Linked DNA regions of Stegostoma tigrinum. The protein of the gene in region 2 purifies or fractionates together with the protein of the main gene of each other region. This does not show direct contact. Links are inferred from orthologs where the notes say so. Each region holds a gene or a part of one and is shown on either strand. Other genes may lie near its edges.

Region 1 (8,232 bases), on a different chromosome or scaffold from region 2:
AAGTAACTGCCCTTGACAATAAGGTTGTATTTTCCAAAAGTGTGGCATCAAGGGCTGAGCAAACCTCAGCAGGAATCAGAGAAACTCTCTATTGGTTGGAGTCATACCTGGCACATTGGAAAACAGTTGTGGTTGTTGGAGGTTAGTCATCTCAGCTCCAGGATGTCACACTGCCAGAATTTCTCAGGGTCGTATTTTTGGCCCAACTATCTTCAGATCTTCATCAACAACATTCCATCTGTCTGATGGTCAGAAGTGGGGATGTTGACCAATGACGATGTATTGTTTAATACCATCCTTGACTCCTTGGATGCTGAAGTAGTAAATGTCCAAATGCTGCAAGATGTGGACAATATTGAAGTTTGACCTGACAACTGGCAAAGTAACATTCACACCACACAAATGCTATCTCCAACAAGAGCGAATCCACCTGTTTTCCCTTGACATAAGGTCAAATTCCACTACAGCATATGGTGAAGTTTGAATTAAAATAAAACTAAATCTGAGAGAAAGAACTATCCTAATGCTGACCATCTAGTTACTTGCTGTCAATTATCTTAAAAACCCATCATTTTCACTCAAGTCCTTACAGGAAGGGAATTTGCCACCGTTACGTGTTCTGGCTTACATGTGACTCCAGGTCCACAGCAATTTAATCGACCCTTACTGAGATGGGCAACAAATGCTGGTCTTGGCAGTGACTCTGAATGAATAAAAAGGTAACCTCCTTCTTTGGCCAAACATTTGGGCATCTATCCGAAGAAGTTGGTCTGTCAGTGTTGTGGGCAAAGCCCTGGCACAGGTTACCAAGATTCATTGTGAAGATTACCAGTGTTAATGGGCAATGCAACAATGGTCATGGGCATTGGTAAGAACAACATAGTTAGGGAAAGGGTTGAAGATTTGCAGAATGAATGTAAGAAGTTAGGTAGGAAGTTAAGGTAAATAATTCTTTGAAGTTGGCATCACACATAAATAAGGTTGTTAAAAGCGTGTTTAGCAGGCTTGCCTTCATTGCTCAGACCTCTGAGTACAGAAGTTGAGACATTATGTTGAGGATGTAAAAAACCTTTGCTGAGGCCTTTTCTGGAGTACTATGTCCAGTTCTGGTCGCACTGTTGTAGGAAGGATATTATTAAGCTGGAGAGGATTCAGAAGAGATTAACCAAGATGTTGCCAGGAATGGAGGGTTTGGCTTATAAGGAGAAGCTGGAAAGTCTGTGACTTTTTTCACTGAAGTGTAGGAGGTTGAGGGGTGACCTTATAGAAGTTTATAGAATCACAATGGATATAGGTAAGGTGAATGGCGGGTGTCTTTTCCACAGGGCAGGGGATTTCAAGACTAGGAGACATATTTTTAAGGTGAGAGGCAGAAGATTTTAAAAAGATACAGATTTTTTTTACAGAGTGGTTCATGTGTGGAACGAACTCCCACAGGAAGTGGTGGATGCAGGTAGAATTCTGTTTAAAAAACATTTAGGTAAGTACATGACTAACATAGAAACATAGAAGATAGGATCAGGAGGAGGTCATTCGGCCCATCTAGCCTGCTTTGCCATTCTTCACGATCATGGCTGACCGTCCAACTCAAAAGCCTAATCCTGCTTTTTCCTCATAACCTTTGATCCCATTTGTCCCAAGCGGTATAGCTAGCTGCCTCTTGAATACATTCAATGTTTTGGCATCAACTACTTCCTGTGATTATGAATTCCACAGGCTCATCACTCTTTGGGTGAAGAAATGTCTCCTCACCCTCATCCAAAATGGTCTATCCGAAATCCTCATACTGTGTCCCTGGTTCTGGACACACCCACCATCGGGAACAACCTCCCTGCATCTACCCTGTCCAGTCCTGTTAGAATTTTATAAGTCTCTATGAGATCCCCCCTCATTTGTCTGAACTCTAGCGAAAACAATCCCAACCTAGTCAATCTCTCCTCATACTTCAGACCCACCATCCCCAGAATCAGAGATAATAGGAACTGCAGATGCTGGAGAAACCGAGATAACATGCCAGAGCCCGAAACATCAGCTTTCCTGCTCCTAAGATGTTGCTTGGCCTGCTGTGATCATCCAGCTCCACAACTTCTTAGCCCCAGAATCAGCCTGGTAAACCTTCACTGCACTCCCTCAAGAGCAAGAGCATTCTTCCTCAGAAAAGGATACCAAAACTGCACACAATATTCTCAGTGTGGTCTCACCATGGCCCTGTACAAGAAGTATTTGAAGGGTTATGGGCCAAGTGCAGGCAGGTGGTACTAGTTTAGGTTGGGATTACGGTCACTGCAGATCAGTTGGACCGAAGGGTCTGTTTTGATGCTGCATGACTCCATGACTAACAAGTTTGAGGCTTTCAAAAGTGAGATAGTGAGACTTCAGAGGCATTCTGCTCCAATTAGGGTGAAGAGCGAGGCTGGTAAGAGTAGGGAATAATAGATTAATAAAGATATTGACGCTCTGGTCAAAAATAAGTAGGTATATATTAGGTATAGACAACTGGGCTCAAGTGAAGAGTACAATGGGTGTAGAGGCATTCTTAAGTGGAAAATCAGGAGGGCAAAAAGGGAATATGAGATAGCCTTAGCAGGCAAGGTCAAATATAATCCAAGATAATAAAGTGCGGAGCTGGATGAACACAGCAGGCCAAGCAGCATCTCAGGAGCACAAAAGCTGACGTTTCGGGCCTAGACCCTTCATCAGATGAATCTGATGATCTGATGAAGGATCTAGGCCTGAACCGTCAGCTTTTGTGCTCCTGAGATGCTGCTTGGCCTGCTGTGTTCATCCAGCTCCGCACTTTATTATCTCAAATATAATCCAAAGTGATTCGACAAGTACATTAAGAGCAAAAGAGGAAGTTATGAGAGAATAGGACCTCTTAAAGATCAATGAGATCGCCTCTGTGTGGAATCTCAGGCGACAGGAGATTATTTCATGTCAATTTTTACTGAGGAGAAAGAAATGGAAGGAAGTCAATAAATACTGAGGAAATAAATATTGATGACCTGAAAACAGTCCACAATACAAAAGAAGAGGTAAAGGTCTTAAAAAACATATAGGTGGATGAATCTCTGGGGCCTGATCAAGTGTATCCCAGGACATTGTGGGAAGTTAGGGGAGAAACTGTGAGGCCCTATCAAAGACATTTGGTCATCTGCAGCCATGGATGTTGTGCCAGGGTGGGCTATGGTTTGCAGGTGCAGCAGGTAACTAAGATGATACATGGAATGTTGTCCTTCATTGTTAGAGGACTGGAGTTTAAAAACAGGGAGGTTATGCTGCAGCTGTTAAGGGTGTTGGCAAGGCTACGCCTGGAGGCATAGATAGAGTGGACACTCAGAGACTTTTTCCCAGGGTGGAAATGATTATTACGAGGGTGCATTATTTTAAGGTGATTGGAGGAAGGTATAGGGGAGATGTCAGAGGTAGGTTCTTCATACAGAGTGGTGGGTGTGTGGAATGCACTGCCGGCAGTGGTAGTGGAGTCAGATACTTTAGAGACTGTTAAGCGACTCTTGGATAGGCACATGGAGGGTTGTAAAATGTAGGATATGCAGGGTAGATTGATCTCAGTAGGATAATAGGTTAGCACCACATCATGGGCTAAAGGGCCTGTATTGTGCTGTACTCTTGTGTGTTGTGTTCTACGAAACCTGGTCAGCATAGGCTGGTTTGCTCGAAGGGTCTGTTTCCGTGCTGTATGACCATGGCTATTGACCAATATTACCATGGTCAATGGTGAAGGTAATCATGCTATAAAGTGTGTGTATTTTTATTTTTGCGTGTTTTCTTTCAATTGTGTCCTGAAAGCAGAAAGGACTGTTTTAAAACCATTATTTGAAAAGTTTACTGCATGCTTTGAAAAACAAGTCACATGAGCCTCATGGCAAGCATGCAGGAAACAGTGTTTGAAACAAGCAGCAATTGAAGTTTAGTTTGTGGTCAGACTGAAGCTGAGGGGTTGTCTACAAGGTGTTATATGGTTTATGGAACAAAAACACTGTTGTTGAAAAAGCTCAGAAGGTCTGGCAGCATCTGTGGAGGAGAAAACAGAGCTAACGTTTCGGGTTCAGTGACTTAACTCTGTTTTTCTCCTTCACAGTTGCTGAGCTTTTCCAGCAACTTTGTTTTTGTTCCTGATTTACAGCAATTGCAGTTCTTTTGGTTTATATGGTTTATGGCCTGGTGACCAATTATGGATAACAAAAGCCTGGTTTTGTCTCTGTATGTGACGGAGGGGTGTGTGTGTGTGTGTGTTTGTGGGGAGTGGGGGGGCGTTGTAAGGGAAGAACGTTTGTCACTGTTTAACTGCAAAGGGTCTATTCGCTGGTTATAAAGTCATTCTTGTTAATTACAGAAACCTGGGCAGTGCTTTCTATCGACTTTGATCTGGACAACAGGTAAGGTGGAAAATTTTATGTACTAATTTTAATATTTTTGTGATAACTTGGAAAATAGCAAGGCGCGATTTCCAGTGAGTTTGACACAGGAAAAAACTGCAGAGGCCCCGGGGTGGAAGGGAAGACAGGCGGAGGCTGGAGGAAAGGAGAAGTCACCGTTTCGGCTATTACCCTTCTTCAGGACTCAGCTGGATTTCCAGTGGGTGCTGACAGTGGACAGTAGTTGACGTTACCGCGGTCATTGTGCCCCTGATAGCTGGGCTAGCCGCTCCAGGCCCCAATCCGGCAAGAGTGGCCGAAGTCCCACCGCTGCTCACTGACGAGGGTCAACACAGAAGGCCCTGCGTGGTTCCCATGGTGACGCTGCGCGCTGACGTCAGGGGGCATCCACTGCGCAGGGGCGGCCCTCGGCCCTCCGCATTCCCAGCATTCCCTGTGCGGACATGGCGGCCGCCGCCGAGGTTCAGTTTGCCCAGCGGCTCGCCTCCAACGAGAAGCGCTTTCGGGATCGAGCCGTTCGTAAACTCCGCCGCTACCTGAGTGCCCGCTCGCAACGACTCTCAGGTAATAACAGCGGGGGGCTTCCGTCCCTCTGCCCCCGGAACGCACCGGGGGGCGCATGACATTCACACGTGGGTACCTGAGGGGTGGGCAGAGAGAGACAGTCAGATAGAGGAGCGCAGTTAGGCCATTCAGCCCATCGATTCTGCTGTACCGTCAGTCATGGCTGATATGTTATTCAATCCCATTCTCCTGCTTTTTCCCCATAACTAGTCATCCCCTTACTAATCAAGAACCTATCTATTTTTGTCCGAAGTACACTCTGTCACTTCAACACCAAAACCCCCTACTGTAATAAGTTCCACAGAGTCACCGCTTCTGGCTGAAGAAATTCTTCCTCATCTCAGTTCTAAAGGGTCGTCTCATCACTTTGGGCCAAGCCATTGGGTCCTAGTCTGTCCCACTAGTGGAAACATCTCTACATCTGCTCTCTTCAGGCCTGTCAATATTCAGGCAGGGTGGAAAAGAAGAGAGGGATAGGGCGGGGAGAGGGGATGGGTTAGGACAGATGATGTTGGACGACATGGGGATCCAATGGGAAGCGGAAGTCTGGTGACTCTGCTGTTGACTGATGAGTGCTGAAGAGGATCTGGGTTACCAGGTAAAGGGAGGTACAAGGGTTATAGGCGTCACTTTTGGAGAATGCCACCGGTGACTGTTGGGGCAGTGTAGATGTGGAAGGGCAATGAGAGGATGAGTTCAGTGAGCTGATTCTCTGTGGGTGTAGGTGTTAGTGGGCTCACAGTGAACAGAAGGAGGTGTCCACCAACTGATCCTGGATTAACCTGACAAAAGTAAGATTTGGAAAAGAACAAGAGGTGACTAAAGTTGTCAGGTTGCAGTAACAGCTGGTGATATGTGGAGCCAGGTGGAACTGAACAAGAAGCAATGGAAAAGACAATTTCTGAAAGAAGGATGACACTGAAGGAGGTTGCAGACTGGAGAGACAAGACTTCTCTACATCATGATAAGTATACTTACACTGGATGTGAAATAATATGCATCTCCTCAGAAGCTACCAGAAAAGTCGTCTTTTATTGCATGATGCTGTTTGACATGTGGTAATTGTATAGGCTATTGTCCATTGGTGTATGCATGATGCTGTAGTTTTCAGAACTCCAACAATTCATTCTATTTTATTTTTTATAAGGTGGTTTCAGTCAGGAAGAGTTACTGAAAATGTGGAAGGGCATTTTCTACTGCATGTGGATGCAGGACAAACCACTTTTACAGGTAAGTCATGATTATAGGAGGGCATCCCCAACAGCAGGTTGCAAAGGTTTTAGAGTAGATCTATAGCTTGGGTTGTGGGTGTTGAGGTTGCTTGGCTTGTTGAGCTGGTTCGTTGTTTTGCAAATGTTTTATTACCGTGCTTGGTAACATCCTCAGTGCAGCCTCCGATGAAGAGCCAATGTGTTTTCCTGTCTGGTTTTTAAACTTGGGTCCGTTGAGATGGATTGCATCACTTCCAGTTTTCCTTCGTAGTGGAATGTATATGGGGTCGAGTTTGACGTGTTTATTAATAGCATGCTTTGTGGAGTGCCAAGCTTCCAGGAATTCCCGTGCCTGTCTCTGCCTAGCCTGTCCCAGCATCTTGGTGTTGTCTCAGTCGAAGTTGTGGTTCTCCGTGTCCATGTGGATTGAGATGAGTGAGTATTCATCGTGTCTTTTTGTAGCCAGTTGGTGTTCTTGTTGTTAGTTTCCTTCCTGTTTGTCTGATGTAGAGTTTCTCACAGTCTCTGCGGGGGATTTTGTAGATGACATTGGCCCTGTCCATGGCAGGGAGTGGGTCCTTAGTTCAGGTGAGCAGTTGTTGTAGGGTTGTGCCACTCTGATGCCCAGCATTCGTAGGAGTCTTGTGGTGAGTTCCAACATGTTCCTGATGTAGGGTAGTGTGATGAATGTACGGTAGTGTGTAGAATCTTTCTGATGCTATTCGTGTAGTCATCTTCTTCTGACCCAGTTCTTTGGATATCTGTTATCCTTGAACACTTGGAAGAGGTATTCTTCTTCCTCTTGGCGTAGTTCTCTGTTGCTGCAGTGTGATCTTGCCCAAAAAATAGTATTCGCACGCAGCTTCATGTGTGCGCACTGGGATGGTTCCTGTTGAAGTTCATTACTTGATTTGTGTGTGTGGTTTTTCGGTGTACTTTTGTTAGCAAACCCTGATGGGACTGTGGATGGGGAGGTGATGCCTAGTGATATTCTTGCTGGACTGTTAACCCACAGCCCTGATAACGTTCTGGGGATCCAGGTTTGAATCCCACCATGGTAGATGGTGGAATTTGAATTCAGTAAATATCTGGAATGGAGAATCTAATGATGACCATGAATCCATTGTCGATTGTCAGAAAAACCCATTGGGTTTGCTAATGTTCCTTAGGTGCTGCAGGGTCTGACCTGGACTGTGTGCAGCAGGACTGTCAAGTGACAGACAGTGAGCTCTCTTTGACCTAACAAGCAGTTCTCCAGTGGCCATGTGTCTTTTTGTTGACGTTTTCTAACTACCTTAATATTGAGTCAAAAGTTCTTGATTTGAAGTTTGGCTTGTCTGCCTCACTCAGAAAATGAAGAGTCCCAGGTTGTAGGAAGCACAGAATGTGTTTGTGGGGGTGAGTGTTGCCACTGGCACACTGAAGCATTCATGTGATGTAACTCTGTGACAGGGTTGTTCAGTCTCCTTTCTGCAGGCAGTAAGTATGCATCTGCGCCCCCTTCATCTGGACAAGAGTTGATCACAAATTGAAAATTGGAGATCTAGGCTTGTGTGGTTCAACTGAATAAAATCTCTACTGTTTGTTACAGGAAGAACTGGCAAACACCATTTCCCAATTGATACACGCCTTCAAAAATCTGGATGCCAGTAAGTTTCTGCTGTTCTGACCATCAATATCTTGTTCCAGAGAGATACATTGTGAAGTCGTGGATAACATGGCTGGATTGTGTTGTGTTGGGCTTTTCCATCATTGAGGAGCCTCCTCCTCCAGTGAGTTGTATAATTGTCCACCACCATTCACAACTGGATGTGGCAGCACTGCAGAGCTTAGCTCTGACCCACTGGTTGTGGGATCACTTAGCTCTGTCTATCACTTGCTGCTTTCACTGTTTGCTGTGCAGGTAGCCCTGCTTGGTTGCTTTATGAAGTGTTTTTAGGTATGTCTGGTACTGCCGCTGGCATGCTGTCCGACATTCTGTTGAACCAGGGTTGATGCCCTGGCTTGATAGTAATAACAAAGCATAGTATATGCTGGGCCTTGAGGTTACAGAGTTG
Region 2 (8,164 bases):
AAATCATGCTGATCCTGCTTGATTAGATTATGATTTTCTAAACATGCTATTACTTTCTTAGTAACGAAAACCAACATTTTTCCAACAATTGATGTTGGGTTAATGGCCCTATATAATTAGGTCTTTATTTGCCGGCCCTGTTTTTCAAGAGGAGCATCACATTGGCAGTTTTCCAAAACCCTTTTTTTCCAAAACAAAAAACAGCTTTTGTTGCAGAATATACAGCAATCAAGAAGTCACTTTATTAAGTGTGTTAGTTTGTCTATTAATAGCTGAAATTGAATTTACACTGTTCAGGTTTGTTTATGCAGCAGAGCAAATCCAATTTGAAGATATAATGCTCACAAAACTACACCTTTGGGCTTGGAAAGTTCTGCAACTTTTACAATCAACTCCAAAACAATATAATTGTATAAATTCTAAACCTGACTTCATCAGCATAGAACAACCATCCCAATTGATGGAATACATTTCATATTCTATACCAGCTGAATGCCTGTCTTTTAAAGAAAAAGGTCCACATTGATGCCATTGCTTCTCAATTCTGTTCCAATTAAGTTATTACACCCGGTTCACAACAAACAACTGCACCTCCCAGTTGTGAACCATTTCAACTCCCACTCCCATTCCGCAGACGACATGTCCATCCTGGGCCTCCTGCAGTGACATAATGAGGCCACCGAAGGTTGCAGGAACAGCAACTCATATTCCGCTTGGGAACCCTGCAGCCCAATGGTATCAATGTGGATTTCACCAGCTTCAAAATCTCCCCTCCCGCCACTGCATCCCAAAACGAGCCCAGCTCATCCCTGCCTGTCTAACCTGTTCTTCCTCTCACCTATCCCTTCCTCCCACCTCAAGCCGCACCTCCATTTCCTACCTCATCCCGCCCCCTTGACCTGTCTGTCTTCCCCGGACTGACCTATCCCCTCCCTACCTCCCCACCCATCTTCTCGTCTGTCCATCTTCGGTCCACCTCACCCCCTCTCCCTACTTATGTCAGAATCCTCTCCCCATTCCCCTTTTCTGCTGAACGGTCTAGGCCCGAAACGTCAGCCTTTGTGCTCCTGAGATGCTGCTTGGCCTGCTGTGTTCATCCAGCTCCACATAAGTTATTAAAGCATTTGTTATCACTGTTCCCATTCCTACAGTAGTAGGAACATTTGTTATGCAATAATTGTTAATGTTTCTGTGTCAAAAAGTTTGACAGCAATTACATTTTTTCAAGAGATATCAATAGTGTGGAAGTGCTACACAGGACTATCAGAGATGCATGCCAGATGTTGTGATGATATAAAATATGGACAACTGATTATCAAATTCCAGCAATTTACTGTCAGCTTATATTTCAAGAGCTTTTTTGAAACAGCACACGATAGACTTTTGACTGCATAAATGAAACAAGCTGGAAGAAGTATTCTCTCTGCCTCTCAAGAAGAAAATTTCAATGACAACACCAACAGGAAAGAAACGTTAGAATCCAGACAACATAGAAGACACCTGCACATTCATTACCATTGATAGTCCTGACAATTTACCAAATGTGGTCTCAGGTTAAACTCTTATGCCACAAGGACATCCAAAGGATTGTAAGTGTATTTTTTTTGGAAACTATCCTTGAGAGGTAGAAATGTTGTATCTTACTTGTTTACAAGTTCTGCTGATAAGGCATTCTGCTAAATAACTGACATTCTTCACAAGGGAACCATTCGACAGGACATACCTTCTCCTTTTTCAGGATGATGTGAAGGTGCCAGCATTAGACTTGGGGGAACCAAGTCAGAAGTCACACGACACCAAGTTATAGTCCAACGGGTTTATTGAAAGCACAAACTTTCAGAGCGCTGCTTCATCAGGTGACTTCACATTCAGTTGCCAAATATACCTGTTGGACTATAACCTGGTATCATGTGACTTCTGAACTTTTCCAGCACGATCTCAAAGACATTACGTACTAGTAATGCTTGAGACCTGTGGTGTAATATCTTCCACACAAGTTTCCCCACAAGGCACAGTCTAGCTATCTGGAGTGGCATTGTGATTAGACATATCCTTAGCATCGCAACAAACAGTAGATTGCTAGCACAGTGACTTTTGGGGTTTGCCTACAGAAAATCCATGCACATCACGCAACTATAACTGTAATATTGGGTAAATTTTTCCTGCTTTTTTTTGGAAGTTTGTATATCATAACCCAAATATAGCATCTATTTTCAAAGTCTAAGTAAAACAGAAGATGGCTTGGGCAATCATCACAGCTTAGGAACAAGGATTGGGCCAGGTCTATGCCACGTACAGCAACACGAATCATCTAGCACCCAATGACCAGGTTCTTAATTGAAATGAAGAGGAAGCATCACTCCCCCATGTCCACTTTTTAATCTCACCTTGGCTACTTACTCCAAGTTTAGTGTCCAGGCCTCCTCCAAACTATAACCGCAGCACTTTCAGTTTTATATGATCAGATTGTGAAGGAGACAAAGGATAGGTCAGTCATTATCCCCACCAAAAAAGTCACCTTTTTGACTCATTTCATCTTGGCTCACAAGGCCCATTTGAACTAGTTATAGATGCTAATTAATCCGACAGCAGATCCAAGCAGAAGATGCTGATGTCACTCATGGAAAGGGAAGTTTTGACTGGGGCACCTTCATTATCTGGGATACATTTGTTCCAAAAATAAACTTTATTCATAACATTTGCAAAATTACAATGCAAATTATTTCAACTTGAACATTACAGAATTTGCAATAAAATTCAACTTGACCCCATACATCATTGTTCCAATCAATCCAATTGCAGACATCTAATTTAAGAAACACATTTCATGTCAGCTCTTGAGGCATAGGGCAAAACATTTCAAATTGCAAATTACAAGTAAAATAGAGATAACATTTTTCTCTGTACATTACTTCCTATTTGAAGGTGCCTCGATATATGTTCAATTCTTTTGATTTGTAGTGTGCGTTCTAAGTTACAAAGGTTGATGTGTTCTATGGTTTCCAGTCCCCTAATATGCTATGGCTGAAAGGCCTTTCATCACTGCAGATCTAGAATGGCTAAAGCTTGGTATAGCTTATTCCTCAGCATGCACTATAGTTCTGGACATTGGAATTTGCCATTCTGCAATACTCAGTCAAGGACAACTGGGAGACCAGCAAACTCCAGGGAGACTAAAGGGCATTTTTCATCAAGTTGATAGTCCTTAATGCAGTAGCTGTTTGTCTCATTGTGCTCAATAGTCTTGCACTTGTGGGTGCGCAGAGCTGCTTAAAATGAATCTTGACTGAAACAGTTACACCTATCTTCTCATTTCCATTGCAAAGGCACCGTCCTCAAGGTAACAGTCTCTTTCTCACCATAGTTATCTCAAGGGCAGAATGTAGACTGACAGACTTGGAGAATGTAGAAGGATCTCACAGGAAGGGCCTTTCTCAACACCAAACATGTTATCTGGGATATGTTTTATGCCCCAAAAATATACATATTCGTAGAATTTGCAAACAAAAACATTTTGACAAATATTACTAGACTTAGGAAAAAAAATCTAACATGCACAGATGTTAACAGTCTTCAATATTTAGCAAATACATCCCATTCAGACTGAGACAGCTCACTTCAAATTGCAAACTGTGCAATCAATTCAACATTCTCTGTACGTTATACTCTGAACTGCCTCACCACATATCTGACACTAACATTAAAACATAATCTTTGACGCACACAGCCCAAGACATTTCGATTCCAGCCTTCACTAAATCATGGCCGGTACCCAGTGAAAGAGGCATTGCTTTGTACAGCATAGAAGCAGACCCTTTGGTCCAATTCATCCAGGTCAATCAGACATCTTAAATTAATAAGTTCCAATTAACACTGAATCAGTTTTAACCCCTTGGACACTGCTTGGTCTGCTGTGTTCATCCATCTCTACACTTTGTTATCTCAGATTCTCCAGCAGCAGCAGTTCCTACTATCTTTAAATTAATCTAATCCCATTTGCCAGCATTTGGCCAATACCTTTCTAAACCTTTCCTATTCATGTAGCTATCCAGGTGCATGATAGGTTTAAAGTTGTGTAGTTGTACCAGCCTTTACTACTTCCTCTGGCAGATCATTTTGTACACAAACCATCCTCTATGTGGAAAAAGTTGCCCTTTAGGTTCCTAGTCATGTCTGCTATTTTCAGTATTACAGTGGTCTGTAGTTTTCCAGGTCTGTTTGGGACATGTATCAGCCATATGACATTCATAGTTTTATAAAGGGAAGTTGTGAACTTATAATACATCACGATAAAATTAGAATTGAGGGTGAAGAAACGAAAATAAACTATTTTACTCCAAATGAGTTCAACTTGTCGACGGCAAATAAGCTGTTGAGTTGAAAAGTGAAAAAAATTTAAACAAAAATACCGTTACACTCTCAAAAAGGTTGGTTTAATGTCATTCAAGCAATGCTTCAGCCTCCTACATCACTTTCACTCACCCTCCCCCCCCCCCCCCCCCGGCCAAAGCCATTTCACTTCAGCGAGTCAACACCGATTTCACTCTCATAATATCCCAACCGTACAAGAAACAGTAGACCCCAAATTAACCCTATCTTTCCACCCCCCCCCCGAAGCAAGCCCAATCAGAAAGCAGTTTTGAACAAACCACAGTTTATTCGATACTCAGGACGGCCATTTTAAAGTAGCCCAGCCATCATTTGGCCTTTTTGAGTAATACACGAGCTGCTGATTCGCCGCCTGGAACACTGATCAGCTCTGATTGGCTCGTCCACCCGACTATTGGGTCGTTCCTGGCCCGAGGTGGATGCTGTGGAGGGCCCCACCTCCAACGCATGAACCCAGGACACGATTGGTTAGCCTCTGCGGGCGGGGCTAGGTTCTGGAATTTCCGATTGGTGAGAACGCATCACGTGGGCGTGATGTCAGTCAAAGTGGTGACGTTCCGGGTGGCTTTCTCTTTTGCTGCGCAGCTCGCGGGGGGAACAGAGACACGTGGGATCGCTCCGTTCGCTTGTGTAGACAAGATGGTGAAACTCGCTAAGGTGAGTGAGTTATGTTGTGGGCCTATGTGTGCAATCTGCCTGGCTCTTTGTCGCCTTCGGCTGTAGACTCCCTGATCTGATGGCCGCGAATCGGGGCCCGAGTGAGACTTCCGTCGGGTCCCTGAGAGCTGGCAAGATCGAGGCCCCTGGACCGCGTGTTGGTCTCGGCCTATAACGTTCCTCTCTCCACCCCCCCCTCCCCCAACACGCTCACTCGTCGTGTCTACGCTCATGGCGCAGGCTGGAGGGAATTCAGGCGATTTGTTCCCATCCTCGCCCGAACCTATCTTTTTTCCCCACGGGCTTCGTGTTTGTTTTAAGTCGCTACCTTCGCCCGGGCCATCCGAGCTCCGGGCTCATCCACTCTATCTCCCGATTGGGGTCTTTGATAGTGCGTTGGGCTCGCACTCCGGGGTTCCTGTTCGCCCTGCACCCGCCTGCTACTTCGCGCGTCTCTGAGTCCCGCTGTATTACCGACGTTCATGTCTTAAATTTTTATTTTGCTGTTTAATTCAATTTCTATCGTCCACCTCCACATCCCTTCTCTTCCCCCCCCCCCCCCCCCCGAAAAAAGGTTGCGTCCTGCAAACGCGTCCGCCTTGTTCAGGCAAGTCCACGTTTTGGGAAACACGTGTATGACTTGAACCTGCATGTTGACCATTTTCGGGCGTTCTCCTGGTTGCTTTTGGTCGCTTGGAACTTGTTTCTCCATTGCTATTGAGCCATTCCTACATTTGAGTTCATTGCTGATTTTAAAAGAAACTCGCCCAAATGTGGTCGATCATTGTTCCCGGATTTTATAGGCATGCAAGCAAGAAAATCATTATTTAGACCCTTTTGTTTAGATTATGCCCAGAGGGGCAGTGAAATACTTCTGAAGTGTAATTGCTGTTATGTAAAACACCACTGATTGTTATGAGTAATGAAAACAAAAAAAATGAGCAGTGAATAGGTGTTTAAAGCTACATTTTAAATCTGTGTCAAATTGCTTGCTCTGATCCAAAAGAATTTGCTGGTGCTGGGAGTCTCAAGTAAAAAATGAATGCTGGAAATCCTTGGGTCTGAAAGCATCTAATATTTCATACCACAGGCCTCATTTTGAATTTGTTTAATTTTTAGTCATAGTTTAGTTGCTTTTGCATGAAAGTGGGAGCTCAGTAACTTCCCTAGTGTAATTGCACATTTGATGTAAATATTATGGGCCATTTGATTTTTCAGGGTAGAATTTATGCCCTCTGTATAGCATATGGAAAATCTAATTTAGTTTTATTCTTCAGGCAGGTAACAAGCAAGGAAAACCTAAAAAGGCTGCCCCTCCACCACCACCACCACCTGCTGAAGAGTTTGAAGAGTCCACTTCTGATGAGGAAAGTGAAGAGGAGGTAATTATTCCATTTCAGTCAAAAATCACAATGTATTAAGCCCATCAAGTCTCCAGGTGGATGATTCACTTAAAGCTATTCTTCTGTGTCTCCCTGAAACCTTGAACACACAGCCCAATTTTACTATGAAGAATCCTCAGTTAAACCTCCCTTCGGGTGCAGTGTGGCAATACACTTGAGACTTTTAATCCATTCAGGATGGAAACAGTTTCTATCTATTCTGCCTCATGATTTTGGAATGCCTTTTTCAAATCTTTTTTTCTCCAAGGTAGAGTCCCAACGTTTGTGACTAAGGTTTCTAGTACTTCTTACTGCATATGTGAATGTTTTCTTGCGTTTCTTCAATGCCTTCACATTTTAAAGTAGGGCATCCAGAATTAAATGCAATATTCCAGCAAAAGTTGTATTACTGCCTTGCGAAATTTCACTGTAGCCTGAGTACTCCATGACCCAATTAATTAAGCCTGCGCAATTGTACACTTTGTTAACTGCTTTCTGTTGTGGATCCTCAATGATTTGTATCTATATGCATCCAGTTCCCTCTGCTCCTTTAGACCTGTTCTCTTTGTTTTCTACCACATTCTTCCAACCAACATAAATTGCTTCATGTCTCTTAACATTGAACTTATCATCAAAAAAAACTGTCCTTTTAACAGTCGTTTTGAAGTTGTGGAGTTTGGTTTGTTGCAGTGCTTCCAAATTTGTTGTATCAAACTGAATCTTGGGATACTGATTTTCCCGAGTATGGAATGAAGTTAACCAAATTTTGCCATTTGTCTGCATTATATTATTTCTGACCAGATTTTTGGTATTGTTGAATGTATTAGTAAATGTAGTAATCACATTATATTTTAAATGACATTGATTTAGGAACTGCCAGCACCACCACCAATTAAGAAGGTTGCTAAGACCCCACAGTCTTCCAACAAAAAAAATGGTAAAGCTGTAAAGAAAGAGAGCAGCGAGGAGGAAGAGGAGGTGGAGGAGGAGGAAGATGATGAGGAGGAGGATGATTCTGGTAGGTGCTCAAAAGCCGCAGTATTTGTCATCTAATCTTGCCATCTTCAGGGCAGTAAAATGTTCCATGATACTTCAGCTGGGTTATCATTCTAAGGTTGACAGTGAGTCTTCCTATAAAATGATAGGGACCACCCCAATCGTCCATTCGGGTCATACTGAACGACTTCACCTTTAACTCCACTCAGTAGCTACAGGTCAGAGTTGTGGCTGTGTGCTCTCCAGGGATACCAGTTATGTCTATTTCTTCATGGGTTACGTGGAACATTACTTGTTCTGATGGTACTTGGTGTCTCCACCTACAAATCTTTCTCCAGTACAGGTAGTTCTCCTGTAATGCAGTAGTTGCGTTCTTGTATGACCTCACGCTATAGAAAATCGCTAAACCTGTACAGCAGAGAATTAGTGTTATCCAAACAGTGTCTATTATTCATCAATCATATTACAGCCAATTTGTGTAAACAAAACACACATTGTAGCAGAGCTAATGGAAACTGCAGATGCTGGAGATTCCGAGATAACAAAGTGTGAAGCTGGTTGAACGCCGCAGGCCAAGCAGCATCTTAGGAGCACAAAAGCTGACGTTTCAGGCCTGGGCTTAGACCCTTCATCAGAAAAAGCTTTTTCTTATGAACAGTCTAGGCCTGAAACGTCAGCTTTTTTGCTCCTTCCCCCTCCCAACTAAAATTGAGAAAATTTATCAATTTTGTTCCTAATTT
Region 3 (7,616 bases), on a different chromosome or scaffold from region 2:
GGAGAGCCCTAGTTTATATGCATGGCCAAAATAGATTTTTGATCAGTCGGAGCAATCTAGGATTACGGGGAAGGAGCAGAAAAACGGATATGATGAATTTTGGATCAGCTAGGATCCTAATCTGCAGTAGGCTTAACCGGCCAAATGGTCTAATCCTGTTTCTATTTCTCATACTCTTACAGAGTAGTGGGACTGGAGTAACTTCTCCTCTCTCAAGCAACAATATTGCACTTGAAACATCTCCAAGATGTTTGATTGAGGAGATGTTGTACTAACATATACAACCTTACCACGCAGCACATGTGTTGTGCCTATCACATGTCCCTGCCTTTATCCTTCAGCGACATAGATTATAAGACCATAAGACATAGGAGTGGAAGTAAGGCTATTCGGCCCATCAAGTCCACTCTTATAGGGAAAGGTAGGTCATGAAGGTTTCCTGCAACATCCAATGACCATATTTGAAGGCAATACCAGACAATCCCAGCATAAATGTGATAATGGGAACTACAGATGCTGGAGAATTCCAAGATAATAAAATGTGAGGCTGGATGAACACAGCAGGCCAAGCAGCATCTCAGGAGCACAAAAGCTGACGTTTCGGGCCTAGACCCTTCATCGGAGAGGGGGATGGGGAGAGGGAACTGGAATAAATAGGGAGAGAGAGGGAGACGGACCGAAGATGGAGAGTAAAGAAGATAGGTGGAGAGAGTATAGGTGGGGAGGTAGGGAAGGGGATAGGTCAGTCCAGGGAAGACGGACAGGTCAAGGAGGTGGGAATGAGGTTAGTAGGTAGATGGGGGTGCGGCTTGGGGTGGGAGGAAGGGATGGGTGAGAGGAAGAACCGGTTAGGGAGGCAGAGACAGGTTGGACTGGTTTTGGGATGCAGTGGGTGGGGGGGGAAGAGCTGGGCTGGTTGTGTGGTGCAGTGGGGGGAGGGGACGAACTGGGCTGGTTCATAAATCTTGGTTTGACAAGCCTTAAGTTTTATTTCTGCAATTTGTTCACTGCAGTAATCATTCTATGAACATATTCATGAGAAGCAGCCAATGTACTTGTTAGAAAAGAACAACAATGCTTATTATGCACAAATAAAAAGGAAACAAAAATACCAACTATATCGTACTGGTCAAAGCCTCGCCATAAACCTTGAAATAAGAGTTCAAACCTTTTTCCCTCTACAATAATCTTAAGAGATACTCACGCTCGAGCAAAGGGTCCCCACTTCAAAATTCATTGTTCGTAGGGAACTATATGTTGATCAGGATCAAAAACAAAGTTGCTGGAAAAGCTCAGCAGGACTGGCAGCATCTGTGAAGGAGAAAACAGAGTTAATCTTTCGGGTCCGGTGACCCTTCCTCAGAATGTCACCAGGCGTGAGACATTAACTCTGTTTTTTCCTTCACAGATGCTGCCAGGCCTGCTGAGCTTTTCCAGCAACTTTGTTTTTGATCCTGATTTACAGCATCCGCAGTTCTTTTGGTTTTTAACTATATGTTGATCTTATATTCCACAAGACAACTGTTTTTCCACAATCTTAAGTGAAAGCTTTTCACTTTTTCACATTTTAAAAAGAAGACATACTCCATTAAAAAAAAACTCCAACCACTTTCCGCATACAAAAAAAAACTCCACTGAAAATAACTCTGGGTGAATAGATTTCTCATTTCAGTCTAAGACGTCTTTTGGACAAGCCGTCTATGGCCCTTCAGCCCACCATGTCCATGCCAGCCAACAAACACCAAACTACACTAATGCCCTTTACTTGCACTTGGTCCGTAGCTTACTGTGCCCCAGCATTTTAAGCATTAATCCAGATGCTTCTTAAATGTTGCATGAGGACCTGCCTCTACCAACCTTTCAGGCAGTGCATCCCACATTTCTGAGATAACAAGGTGTAGAGCTGGATGAACACAGCAGGCCAAGCAGTATCAGAGGAGCAGGAAGGCTGACGTTTCGGGTCTGGACCCTTCTTCACAAATGGGGGAGGGGAAGGGGATTCTGAAATAGAGAGGGGGGGAGGTGGATGAAAGATGGATAAAGGAGCAGATAGGTGGAGAGGAGGCAGATAGGTCAAGAAGGCAGGGATGGAGCGCGTAAAGGCGAGTGTTGGTAGGGGTTGGTCAGTCCAGGGAAGACGAACATTCCATATTTCTACCACTTTCTGGATAAAAGAATTTTCCTTCTAAACCACTCTCTCTGCATATCAAGCTATGCCTCTGGTCTTAAACACATCCTCTCTTACAAGGAAGGAAAAAAAGTCCTATCTTGTCACACCTCATAATTGAGACTCTATATTCCAGACAACATTTTAGGGAAACTGCTCTGCACCCTCACCAGTGCAATCCAGTCGTTCCAACAACGTGACGACCAGAACTGTAAACACTATTCCATTTGTGGCCCAATCAATGTTCATAAAGTTGTAACAAGACTTCCTTGCTCCTATATTCTGTGCCCCGACTAATGAAGGCAAGCATTTCATGTGCCTTCTTCACCTCTGTCTACCCGTATTGACACCTTCAGAGATACCTGGACGTGTATATAAAGGTCCCTTAGTTCCTCAGCAATCCCTTGGCGACTGACTACACATTGTGTATATCATTCCCATATTAGACCTTCCAAAATACATCACTTTGCACTTATCAGGATTTCATTCCATCTCCCACTGCTCTGCCCAATTTACCAGTTAATCAATATTAGACTATAGCCCGAGACCATTCTCCTCACTAACACCATCAGTTTTTATGTCATCTTCAAACTTACTAATTATACCCTTTTTTCCCCAAAGTTGGGGGCTCAATTACTCGGGGTCACAATTTCAAGGTGAGGGGAGAAAAGTTTAAGGGAGATATGCGTGGAAAGTTCATTACGCAGAAGGTGATGGGTGCCTGGAACGTGTTGCCAGCGGAGGTGGTAGAGGCAGGCTCGATAGTGTCATTAAGATGTACTTAGATAGATACATGAATGGGCAGGGAGCAGAGGGATACAGATTCTTGGAAAATAGGCAACAGGTTTAGGTAGAGGATCTGGATCAGTGCAGGCTTGGAGGGCTGAAGGGGCTGTTCCCGTCCTGTAATTTTCTTTGTTCTATAACAAACAGCAAGGGTCCCAGCACCTCCCTCTATGGTATACCACTGGTCACAGGCTTCCAATCACCAAAAAGCCGTCGAACATCACCCTTTGCTTCCTGTTTGTAAACCAATTTTGGATCCAATTTGCTAACTTGCCTTGAATCCCAAGAGCTATAACCTTTTGGACCAGCCTTCCATGTGGGACCATGTGTCCTAAACAGGCACCCGATAATAATTAAACTGCGATGCCTGGTTCTGGAATCACGCAATATTATTGTTCCTTCATCAAATGCTATCAAGCCAAAGGAGATGACAAAAAGCAGTGGAGCCCACAGTAAGAAGCCACATGTTGTACACCTTCACGGGAAGCAATTTTTAAATTACCAGAGTTCAGAGAGAACACGCATGATCCTTTGATCAAAATCTTGAACGACATTAAGGAGCACAGTCTCCTTGTGGTAAAGTGGACTGCAGCAGCAAGTCATCGAATAGGTTTACAAGAAGATAATAGGAGGGAGAGTAGAGAGAAAAAGGAGTGATTTGAAAACTGAATAGGAACTACGGTTTCATCCAGACCCACGTTGGAGGTTTCGAGAACAGCATTTCCGCCCGCCCTCGTTGCCTCGCTTCAAGCGAAAATTACTGACGCACCCAAAACACGAGTTAAAACACCCGCAAAAACAACAGTCAAACAGACCTGGTCCGTTTCATCGAGATCTGGAAGCGACCGCTTATTCCCTGCAGTTTTGCTCCTCCTGTCCCCGGCCACCGACATGCTCTCAGCCGCCATCTTACTGCAGGAGCCGCGCTGCGGGAAAGGTCAGAGGTTAAGTCAACGCATGACGTCACGAGGACACTGGACGGACGTAGCGTTCACGTTGAGGAGGCGGGTAGCGAGTGGAGGTGGGTGTGGGAATGGAAACGGTGATTGGCCCGTTAGCCTGAAGGTTAAAGGTTAAAGATGGATTTTCCACTTTTTTTAAACAAAACGGCCCTTACAAGGTCTAGCAGATAAGTGAGTGGGTTTGTTCTCGATGCGGCAAGGAGGGGAAAATGAAATTTTTCAAACGGTGAGGTAAATGAAGGCCGTGTTTTGCGTAATGGGTGGTTTGAGGGGGGGAGGGGCCCGGAAAGACTGCGTGAGGAAGATGGCGGCGGTTGCTGTGGAGTGTGCCGCTGCTGGATAAGGTGTCGTTTTGGAGATCGCATTTTGTTCAGGAGATTCCTCCGCCCCACTTCGTTCCCTTTCTCTCACTGAGCGGATTAGACCACCTTTCCCTTGCGGTCCAAGCCCGGGTCCTTGAATACTGAGGCCAGCCAGCGGCTTGTGTGCCTGCCCCAGTTTCTCCTCGGCTTAGGGGCCTGAGGTCCGCCGCCTGCACGGTCGGCCCCGGCCGCGTCTCCGGATGGACGCGCACGGCAGCAATGTGCCCGCATTCCTCACCAAACTATGGACTTTAATCGAGGATCCCGACACCAATGACCTGATCTGCTGGAGTGCGGTAAGTAAATCAGAGGCCCAGGAAGCCTTGAGCAAGGCCTCGTTCAAAGAAAACACACGCACAAGGGGGCGTGGGCTTTAAATAAACATAGTCTCTTAAATAGCTTGCTAAAAGGATGACATCCCAACGCCCTGTATCACTTTCTTAAGATTAAAAAGTGTATTATCTGACAAGTTACTTTATTAAGTCGATTTGTGGTTTGAAGTAATATTTAAAAACGCTAGATCATCATTATTTGTCAAAGTGACAGTTTTGTGGGCAAGGTTGTTTGTGTTTACGTTGTTTAAGAGTTGGCTTATTGAAACTATACTCCCATGCTTTAAATATTATTTACCACACTTCATTATGTCTGAATCCACTGCTGAGTGGTAGTGGCCTTTCTGAATTTTGCACTGATACTGTGTTGAATGGCCTACTCCAGTTCTCATCCTTGTTTCCTACTTGTGTAAGCAACTATAAACGTGCAAATAATCAAAGGTTAAATTCAGACAGTGTATTGCAGTGATAGATAGCACTGTAGTTTGCATTATTGCCTCAGCGCCAAGGACCCAGGTTCGATTCCACCCTTGAGTGACTGGAGTTTGTGCATTCTCCACGTGTCTGTATGGATGCTCTGGTTTCCTCCCACGGACCAAAGATATTTAAGCCAGGTGGATTGGCTATGCTAAAAGTTGCCCTGTTATGTCCAAAGATGTGCAGCTTAAGTGGGTTAAAACTCCCTGGTTAAAAACCCCATGTGGGATTACAGGGATAGGGTTGTGGGGTTGGGCCTGGGTGGGATGCTATTCAGAGTTGGTGCAGACTAAATGGCCACTTTCTGCACTATAGGGATTCTGTGATTCTAAGGCAGCAGTGCATTTTCAAAATGAACACAGCAGGCCAAGCAGCATCAGAGGAGCAGGAAGGCTGACGTTTTCAGTTTAGACCCTCTTTCTGAAGAAGGGTCCAGGCCCAAAATATCAGCCTTCCTGCTGCTCTGATGCTGCTTGGCCTGCTGTTTTCATCCAGCTCTACACCTTGTTATCTCAGATCCTCCAGCATCTGCAGTTCCTGCTATCTCTGAAACAATTTTAACCCCACTGCAAAGCCTCTTCTAAAGATGCCTACCCAGAAGGGTTGTTTTTTTCTGAAAAAAGGTCTCGGTCCGAAATGTCAGCCTTCCTGCTCCTCTGCTGTTTGGCCTGCTGTGTTCATCTGGCTCGACACCTTGTTATCTCAGATTCTCCAGCATCTGCAGTTCTGTGTTTTTTCAAAGATCTGTTTACCCTTGGAGCCCACATATTTGGCACACAGATGCTTTTCCATCACAAAATAATGCTGGACTTTGCTGCAAAAAGATGCTCACAACATTTTCAAGGGAATCAATACTGCCGTTTCCAGTGACGCCCATGGAATGATTTATGTAAAAGCCTGATGACCTTGCAATTCCTGATGGACATTGATTTCCTAAAGCCAGTCACCCATCCAGAAGGTGCAAGTCAGGAGTGTGATGGAGTACTCTCCACATCCCTGCACGTGTGCAGCTCTGACAACACTCAAACATAATACTGTCCAGGGCAAAGCAGCCTGCTTGATTGACGCTACATTCTCAAATGTCTACTCCCACCATCACCACTCAGTAATAGCAGTATGTATGATCTACCAGATGCAGTGCAGCAACTCATTAAGCCTCCTTGGAAGTACCTTCCAGACCCATGATCTCCACCACCTCAAAGGACAAGGGCAGCAGATAAATAAGAACTTGCCAGTTCCCTTCCCAAACACTTTTCCTTCACTGAGTCCAAATTTTGGAACTCCTTTCTTAAGTGTTGTGGATGTACCTGGTCCTCAAGGGCTTCATTGAGTCAAGAAAGCAACACTGTGCCACTTCTGAAGGGTCACTGACAAAGGTCAAAAATGTTGACTTTGCCAGCAACTCTCCTTGGAATCAACAAATGACAAAAAGCAATTAGATGCGGGTTGACTTTCTGCCTGAATTGACTCGCTATTTCCAAACTAGGTCATTAGCATCAAGGCAGGGTGTTTACAATTTATAACATTCCCAGAGAATTGGTAATCCTAGCGTGGTAAATGACTACTGCGGAGTCGAAGGAGGTTGACAAGCCAGTGCAACTTGACTTTCTTTTTTGTGTATGTGTATTGTGAACTAATCCAACCTTCTAAAGGTAATATTGAAGAATAATGTACACCTGCGTCAGTAAGGTAGACATTTAGCAGGATACCTGGCTGTTGGTGTCACTTTTTTTGTCATAGCCATAGAGATGTGCAACACAGAAACAGACCCATTGGTCCAACTCATCCATGCCATCCAGATATCCCGAATACATTCAGTCTCATTTGGCCTATTTCACTCTAAACCCTTCCTAATCATACACCAATCCAGATGTCTTTTTAAATGTTGTAATTGTGCCACTCTCCACCACTTCCTCTGGAAGCTCATTCCGTACAAGCCCCACCTTCTGCATGAAAAAGTTGCCCCTTGGGTTCCTTTGAAATCTTTCCACTCTCACCTTAAAGCTAGTTTTGGACTCTCCCACTCAAGGGAAAAGACTTTATCTACTTAGCCCTTCCATCCCCCCCTCATGATTTTATAACCTCTGTTAGGTCACCCCTCAGCCTCCAATTCTCCAGGAAATATAGTCCCAGTCTATTCAGCCTCTCCCTCTAACTCAAACCCTCCAACCTGGCAACATCTTTGTAAATCTTTTCTGAGCCCTTCCTAGTTTCACAACATACTTCCCATAGCAGGGAGTCCAGATTTGCATACAGTATTCCAAAAGTGGCCTAACCAATATTCTGTACAGAGGCAACATGATCTCCCAACTCTTACACTCAATGCACTGACCAAAAAGGCAAGTACACCAAACACCACCTTCACTATCCTACCTATCTGCAACTCCACTTTCAAGGAACTATGAACCTGCACTCCAAGGTCTCTTTGTTCAGCAACACTCCCCAGGACTTTATCATTAAATGTATAAGTCCTGCCTTCACACCTATCTGAATTAAACTCCATCTGCCACTCCTCGGCCCATTGGCCCAT
Region 4 (7,848 bases), on a different chromosome or scaffold from region 2:
ATGGGGAAAAGCCCTATAGTGTACCAAGAGGCTACAGAATCCCTCAGAAACATGAAAAAGGTCTTACAAAGTCAATGGCTGGGAACTTTGCTGATGTCATGTTATATGCATAGTATTGTGAAGGCAAGAATTCATTTAAGAAGGAAAATTCATTTTTAAAAATAATTTTCAGATCTACAGAATTAAATGTTTAAGAACTGAAGTAATAAACTGTTCTCAAAAATTGCAACAGTTTAAATGGGTAATTTCAAGGCAGCATCAATGACAAAGTGATTAGAGTCCTGGTTTAATTTAGATTTGATGCAACTGGATTGGGGCAAGTAAGGGTGCAGCATATTCAATGAAGAAAGGTTGTATTTTATTGTTTTTTTGTGTAATATCTTATTTGAATTTTTTGCAATATTCGTTCAGATCATTTATGAATAAAACATCCTTTGCAAAAAGAGGCTAACATATCAGCACTGCACTGATAGAAAAGAAAATCTTTAATTTCAATTTTTGAAAATAAAACATTCACTATGTTTGTCCTTGAAACTGGAAAGAAACTGTTGATTCTTTTTGGATAATGCAGCTCCTTACCATTAAGTGCAGGGCGCCTGTAAACTGGGAGTTCCCAGAAACCAAGAAGCTGATTAACAGACAAAGGCCACAGGCCCAGAGATAATGGGAACTGCAGATGCTGGAGATTCCAAGATAATAAAATGTGAGGCTGGATGAACACAGCAGGCCAAGCAGCATCTCAGGAGCACAAAAGCTGACGTTTCGGGCCTAGACCCTTCATCAGAGAGGGGGATGGGGGGAGGGAACTGGAATAAATAGGGAGAGAGGGGGAGGCGGGCCGAAGATGGAGAGTAAAGAAGATAGGTGGAGAGGGTGTAGGTGGGGAGGCAGGGAGGGGATAGGTCAGTCCAGGGAAGACGGACAGGTCAAGGAGGTGGGATGAGGTTAGTAGGTAGCTGGGGGTGCGGCTTGGGGTGGGAGGAAGGGATGGGTGAGAGGAAGAACCGGTTAGGGAGGCAGAGACAGGTTGGACTGGTTTTGGGATGCAGTGGGTGGGGGGGAAGAACTGGGCTGGTTGTGTGGTGCAGTGGGGGGAGGGGATGAACTGGGCTGGTTTAGGGATGCAGTAGGGGAAGGGGAGATTTTGAAACTGGTGAAGTCCACATTGATACCATATGGCTGCAGGGTTCCCAGGCGGAATATGAGTTGCTGTTCCTGCAACCTTCGGGTGGCATCATTGTGGCAGTGCAGGAGGCCCATGATGGACATGTCATCAAGAGAATGGGAGGGGGAGTGGAAATGGTTTGCGACTGGGAGGTGCAGTTGTTTGTTGCGAACTGAGCGGAGGTGTTCTGCAAAGCGGTCCCCAAGCCTCCGCTTGGTTTCCCCAATGTAGAGGAAGCCGCACCGGGTACAGTGGATGCAGTATACCACATTGGCAGATGTGCAGGTGAACCTCTGCTTAATGTGGAATGTCATCTTGGGGCCTGGGATGGGGGTGAGGGAGGAGGTGTGGGGACAAGTGTAGCATTTCCTGCGGTTGCAGGGGAAGGTGCCGGGTGTGGTGGGGTTGGAGGGCAGTGTGGAGCGAACAAGGGAGTCACGGAGAGAGTGGTCTCTCCGGAAAGCAGACAGGGGAGGGGATGGAAAAATGTCTTGGGTGGTGGGGTCGGATTGTAAATGGCGGAAGTGTCGGAGGATAATGCGTTGTATCCGGAGGTTGGTGGGGTGGTGTGTGAGAACGAGGGGGATCCTCTTTGGGCAGTTGTGGCGGGGGCGGGGTGTGAGAGATGTGTCGCGGGAAATGCGGGAGACGCGGTCAAGGGCGTTCTCAATCACCGTGGGGGGAAAGTTGCGGTCCTTAAAGAACTTGGACATCTGGGATGTGCGGGAGTGGAATGTCTTATCGTGGGAGCAGATGCGGCGGAGGCGGAGGAATTGGGAATAGGGGATGGAATTTTTGCAGGAGGGTGGGTGGGAGGAGGTGTATTCTAGGTAACTGTGGGAGTCGGTGGGCTTGAAATGGACATCAGTTACAAGCTGGTTGCCTGAGATGGAGACTGAGAGGTCCAGGAAGGTGAGGGATGTGCTGGAGATGGCCCAGGTGAACTGAAGGTTGGGGTGGAAGGTGTTGGTGAAGTAGATGAACTGTTCGAGCTCCTCTGGGGAGCAAGAGGCGGCGCCGATACAGTCATCAATGTACCGGAGGAAGAGGTGGGGTTTGGGGCCTGTGTAGGTGCGGAAGAGGGACTGTTCCACGTAACCTACAAAGAGGCAGGCATAGCTGGGGCCCATGCGGGTGCCCATGGCCACCCCCTAAGTCTAGGGCCACCCCCCTAAGGCCACAGGCCCAAAGGGAACAGAAGGAAAAAAAACTACAGTACCCATCATGCAATACCAAGTCACGCAAACAACTCCAGTTTAATTTTAAAATGTTTTTAATTTTGACGAATATCGTTCACAGTTTGCCTTCAAAAGAATCATCTTTTATTTTCAGCACATTATTTGTGGAGATATGTAATGTTACTGACAATGTCCACGGGTCCGGAAGAAGTAGTCGCGCGCTGGAGAGTGACTTCCTTTCGCCTGGATAGTGTTTGAGGTAAGGATGGTACGGTGGGGGGTAAATGGTGACAATCCGTGTCTAATCCCCTGTTCAAACAGCCATCCGGTTAATATTGTTCAACAAAGTTAATCAGCATCATGTCGGTGTTTCTGCTGAGAATGTATTTTATCGAATGTCCGGATATGTCGCAGTTTAAAATACATCTTTGATCGCGGGGCCTGTTTCCAGTAACATGGAGCCCCCGGGTATGAAGACGCTGTATTTATGGATAAGTAACAGCGTTAAAGGTTTTAATTTTTTCCTGACTCCCTGATTTGGTATATTTTGTACTAGCACGGATTTGTGGTTAGGTTATTGCCAGTGGAAGAACTGAGAATAAATTGAATTCAGACTTGTTTCGTAAAGAAGCTGACGAAGTTTAAGATCGTAAAACCATAAGATGTAGAATAAGGCCATTATTGCGGAACTTCCGTTAGTTTTTAGGTCTTTGCAATCTACAATCACACGTTGTTATTCTGCTGTTTGTTTTCTAAATACTGAGCTAGTATTTCTGTTTCCCGGGTCGTTTAGAAATGCCGTGAGTAGCTAAAAGCAAATAGTTCCTCCTAGTGAACTGGGAGAAGTCAAACGATGTCCTCTTGCAGCAGTGAGTGTGCCATGACCTGAGATTTAAATGTCCAGCAGCATAGAAAATAAGAACAGGAGTAGGCCGTTCAGTCTGCTCCACCCACCAACGTGATCATGGCTAGTCAGAGATAATGAGAACTGCTGATGCTGGAGAGTCCAGGATAACCAAGTGTGGAGCTGGATGAACACAGCAGGCCAAGTAGCATTTTAGGAGCAGATGCTGTTCGGCCTGCTGTGTTCATCTAGCTCCACACATTGTGATCATGGCTGGTCTCATTTGATCCCCTTTAGTGCTAAAAGCTGTATTTACATCATTCTCAAAAGTCTTCAATGTTTTGACCTCAACATCTTGCTGTGGCAGGTAATTCTGCAGGCTCACCATTCTCTGGGTGAAGAATTTGTATTCCCTCATCCAAGACCTAATCCTTAGATTATGACCCCAGATTCTGGACTCTCTGGTCATCAGGAACATCATTCCTGCATCCACCCTCTAATCTTTTAGAACTTTTGAAGATTTCTACGAGGTGTCTCCTGATCCTTCTGAATCCTAATGAAGGAGGTCTGGTCTCTCCCCATGTGTCAATCCTGTCATCACACAAGTTAGTCTGATATACCTTCTTTGCACTCCCTCGATAGCCAGAACATTCTTCCTCAGATAAGGAGACCAAACTGCGCACACTACTCCAGGTATGGTCTTAACAAAACATTCTTGCTCCTGTAGTTGAATCCTCTTGCCATGTAGATAAATGTAATTGTTGTCTTTGCCAGCTGCACTTGCATGATCACTTACAGTGCCATTTCTAAAAGACCCGGGAAAAAGAAATATGAGCTCAGTATTAAGAAAACAAGGAGCAGAATAACAACCTGTGATTGTAGATTTCAAAGACTTTAAAAACTAATAAGATATGCAATAATGGCCTGATTCTACATCTTAAGGTTTTATAATCATATAATTTCCTTCGCCAGCTTCTTTACAAAACAAGTGCCTTCTCTTCTCCAATTTCACTGCCATTCAGATGAAAATCTGCCTCTTTGTTTTTGCTATCAAAGTGGACAACTTCACATTGATACATATGATACTGCATCTGCCATATATTTACCCACTTACTAGTGTTATCCAAAGAACCAAACATTTTGACAGTTACTGTGAAAGGATAGGCATATGAGGTTGGAGTGCCAGCTAAGTGATAGATTGCTATGGGTATATCAAAAAATGTGTTGAGGGGACTACAGAATTTTGATGCCCGAGATGGTAAGTGACTGTCAGGTGTGTTTGGGGGTTCAGCTTAACATTGACGAGTAGTTGAACTAGGTTTTTATTCATCTAACTTTTCCTGGAGTAACCAACAGTAGAACTATATGAGTTTTCTGCCTCTGATAGATTCTTCTGGAGGGTCAGATGAATCATCAGAATCTTTAATTGTTTCCATGGAGTCTGGGATTCCATATGGTTCTCATTTGCACCTCTAATTTGTGCTGTTCCATCAGAATATCTGGGCCTTTTTTTTCTTATACCTGTAATTTTACATTTTACTGACTAATTAACTGAATGCAAAATTTCAGTAGTTCTGAAGTTTGTATACTATCCATGTTATTTTAACTTTTAGGATAGTTTTAGGACATATTTAGACTGGATTTTTGTATTTACAGGCTGCATAATGGGTCGTGTAATTAGAGGTCAGAGAAAGGGTGCAGGCTCTGTCTTCAAAGCTCATGTGAAACACAGGAAAGGTCCTGCAAAGTTGAGAGCTGTGGATTTTGCTGAACGTCATGGTTATATCAAGGGTATCGTGAAGGTAAGTTTTCATTTAAGAATGGAATTTTTTAAATATAGGAATTAAATAAATCACAGTAATACAGCACAGAAACAGACCCTTCAATCCAACTTGTCTACACTGATCAGATATCCTAAACGGAACTAGTCCCATTTCCCACCGTTTGACCCATATCTCTCTCAACTCCTCCTATTCGTGTACCCATCCTGGTGCCTTTTAAATGTTGTAGTTGTACCCACCTGTCCCCACTTCCTCTGGCACCTTCTTCCATACATGCATCGCCCTCCGTTTCCTTTTTAAATCTTTCCCTTCTCATGTTTAAGGATTAAACCATAAATTTTTCTCAAAAATCACAGCAGCTTAAATAGCTAAATTTATGACAGGACTGATTATAAAAGTAATTAGATTCCTGGTTTACTTTGCAGGATATAATTCATGACCCTGGTCGTGGTGCTCCTTTAGCAAAGGTGGTGTTCCGAGATCCTTACAGGTTCAAAAGGAGGACTGAGCTGTTCATTGCAGCAGAGGGTATTCACACCGGTCAGTTTATCTACTGTGGCAAGAAGGGTAAGATGTGTGAAATTATATAATTGGTTTTTTTGATATATATAAATATGAAATTTAGTGAATTTCTGTGGTCTTTTTAGGGATGGCAGCTGGTGCCTAGTGGGGTTCCACAGGGGTCAGTGTTGGGACCACAGCTATTCACGTTATACACTAGTGATCTGGGCAAAGGAATTGTTGCTCTGTTTGCAGATAACACAAGGTATGTGGAAGGACAGATAATGTTGCGAAGCAGGAAGGCTGCGGAAGGACTTGGGCATATAAGGCAAGTGGGCAAAGTGGTGCCAGATGGAATGCAGTTTGACAAAGTGAGGTTATAAATTTTAGCATGAAGAATAGAAGCAAAGACTATTTTCTAAATGGGGCAAGGCTTTTGGAAATCTAAGGTGCAAAGGGACCGAGCAGTCCTAGTTCAGGATTCTCGTCATGTTAACCTGCAGGTTCATTTGGCAGTAAGAAAGGCAAATGCAATGTTAGCATTCATTTCAAGATGGTTGGAATAGAGGCCAGATATATAGTCCCTCAGCAGTACAAGGCTCTGTGCAGACCGTGTTTGAAATATTGTGAGCAATTTTGGACCTCATCTAAGGAAAGATGTGTAGACGTTGGCAGGAGTCCAGTGTAGGTTTAGAATAATGATCTTGGGGATGAAGTACTTGTCATAGAAGGTTCATTCGAGGACTCTCTGGGTCTCTACTTGGAGTTTAGAAAGTTGAGGGGAGAATCTCAGAGGTGGACTGGGCAAGATGCTTCCACTCGGAGGAAGGACTCAGACCTGGGACGTAGACTCATGGTGAAAGGATGACCCTATAGAACTGAGATGGGGAGAAACTTCTTCAGCCAGGAAGTGATTTCTCTATGGAACTCGTTACTACAAGGGGCTTTGGAGGCGTAGACATTGAATGTATTTAAGACCGTTTCTTGATTACAAGGGGGATCAAGGGTTATGGGGAAGGGCAGGAGAATGGGGTTGAGAAGCAAATCAGCTATAATTGAATGGCAGAATAGACTTGCTTGGGTGAATCCTGATTTTGCTGTTATATTTTAAGGTCTTATTATGGTATTTGGTAAATAATTTAATCAAATAAACCAGTTAGGTTTTGTATTAACTCTGGTCTTATTTAGTTAGTTCCTGGAAAAGGTGACTATTGAAATAAAGTTATGACGGATCCAAGTTCCAAAACTGTGATAGAAGCTATTGTAAAACAGAGATTTTGGGATGATGATGTGATGGGGCAGCAACATACATTTCAGATCAGGAAGGCAAAGGAGGAATATGAGAGTTGTGGCAAATAAGGTAAACGATAATCCAAAACGATTCTACAAGTACGTTAAGAGCAAGAGAGCACCTACAGAGAGAATAGGGCTCCTTAAAAATCATAGGTCATGTTGAACCTCAGGAGATGGGAGAGACTAAATGAATATTTTCTCAGTTTTTAATGTGAGAAAGAAATGGAGGCTGGAGAACTCAGGGAAATATTCACAATTTGAAATTGGCTGACATTACATAAGAGGAACTGCTGGAGGTCTGAGAAAATTATAAAGTGGATAAATCTCCACGACCTGATCTTGTGTATGCCAAGATGTTGTGGAAAGTTAGGGGAGAAATTTTGGGGCCCCTTGCAGAAGTATTTGTACCATCTATAGCTATGGAAGAGGTGCCAGATGAGTGGAGAATGTCTGTCTGATGTTTTACCTTTGTTTAAAAAGGGACGTTTGGAGAAGTCTGAACCAAGCCTGTGAGTGTTACTTAAACAGTGGGTACATTGTTGGAGGTGACCCTGAAAGATAGCTGTCCGCATTGGGAAAGACCAGGAAAAGTTACGGATAGCATGGTTTTGTGAGGGGGGAAATTGTCTCTCACCAACTTGATTTTTTCGACAAAGTAACCAAGAAGATTCAGAGCAGTATAATAGACGTTGTTTATTGGGACTTAAGTAGAGCCTTTGACAAAGTTTTGATTGGTAGACCAATTAGTAAAAGATCACACTGGTTTCAGGCTGAGCTTGCCAGTTGGATACAAAATTGTCTTCACGGCAAGAGATAGAGAATGATGGTGGAAGATTATTTTTCAGACTGGACACCTGAGACTGGTGGTGTTCAACGGCTTAGTGTTGGATTCACTTTTGTTGATCATTTTATCTAAATGATCTTGATGAAACTGGCATAGTTAGTAAGTTTGTGGATGACACCAAAATTGGTGGTGTAGTGCCCACTGAAGAAGGTTATCCAAGATTATAAAGAAATCTTCATTCATTTGGGCTAAGGAGTGGTAGGTAGAGTTTCATTTGGATAAATATGAGATAATACATTTTA

The links.
Region 1: the proteins of ncl (region 2) and ribosomal RNA processing protein 1 homolog A purify together in Homo sapiens (affinity purification with mass spectrometry; 3 studies listed by BioGRID and IntAct, with this or other methods). This does not show direct contact. The link is inferred for Stegostoma tigrinum from reciprocal best matches to the Homo sapiens genes NCL and RRP1B.
Region 3: the proteins of ncl (region 2) and hsf1 purify together in Homo sapiens (affinity purification with mass spectrometry; 3 studies listed by BioGRID, with this or other methods). This does not show direct contact. The link is inferred for Stegostoma tigrinum from reciprocal best matches to the Homo sapiens genes NCL and HSF1.
Region 4: the proteins of ncl (region 2) and rpl8 purify together in Homo sapiens (affinity purification with mass spectrometry; 3 studies listed by BioGRID and IntAct, with this or other methods). This does not show direct contact. The link is inferred for Stegostoma tigrinum from reciprocal best matches to the Homo sapiens genes NCL and RPL8.

Annotation. Positions count from the first base shown.
Region 1 is NC_081365.1:1,311,877-1,320,108, forward strand, and holds the start of ribosomal RNA processing protein 1 homolog A, read left to right. Parts: upstream 1-4,830; 5' UTR 4,831-4,843; coding exon 4,844-4,964; intron 4,965-6,111; coding exon 6,112-6,194; intron 6,195-7,766; coding exon 7,767-7,824; intron 7,825-8,232. UniProt on the Homo sapiens protein: Positively regulates DNA damage-induced apoptosis by acting as a transcriptional coactivator of proapoptotic target genes of the transcriptional activator E2F1.
Region 2 is NC_081367.1:43,733,259-43,741,422, reverse strand, and holds the start of ncl (nucleolin), read left to right. Parts: upstream 1-4,930; 5' UTR 4,931-5,028; coding exon 5,029-5,046; intron 5,047-6,323; coding exon 6,324-6,428; intron 6,429-7,298; coding exon 7,299-7,446; intron 7,447-8,164. UniProt on the Homo sapiens protein: Nucleolin is the major nucleolar protein of growing eukaryotic cells. It is found associated with intranucleolar chromatin and pre-ribosomal particles. It induces chromatin decondensation by binding to histone H1.
Region 3 is NC_081355.1:158,994,075-159,001,690, forward strand, and holds the start of hsf1 (heat shock factor protein 1), read left to right. Parts: upstream 1-4,205; 5' UTR 4,206-4,477; coding exon 4,478-4,573; intron 4,574-7,616. Other genes in the region: ribosome biogenesis protein bop1, read right to left, coding at 3,769-3,861. UniProt on the Homo sapiens protein: Functions as a stress-inducible and DNA-binding transcription factor that plays a central role in the transcriptional activation of the heat shock response (HSR), leading to the expression of a large class of molecular chaperones, heat shock proteins (HSPs), that protect cells from cellular insult damage.
Region 4 is NC_081365.1:43,926,478-43,934,325, forward strand, and holds the start of rpl8 (large ribosomal subunit protein uL2), read left to right. Parts: upstream 1-4,843; 5' UTR 4,844-4,851; coding exon 4,852-4,989; intron 4,990-5,393; coding exon 5,394-5,535; intron 5,536-7,848. UniProt on the Homo sapiens protein: Component of the large ribosomal subunit. The ribosome is a large ribonucleoprotein complex responsible for the synthesis of proteins in the cell.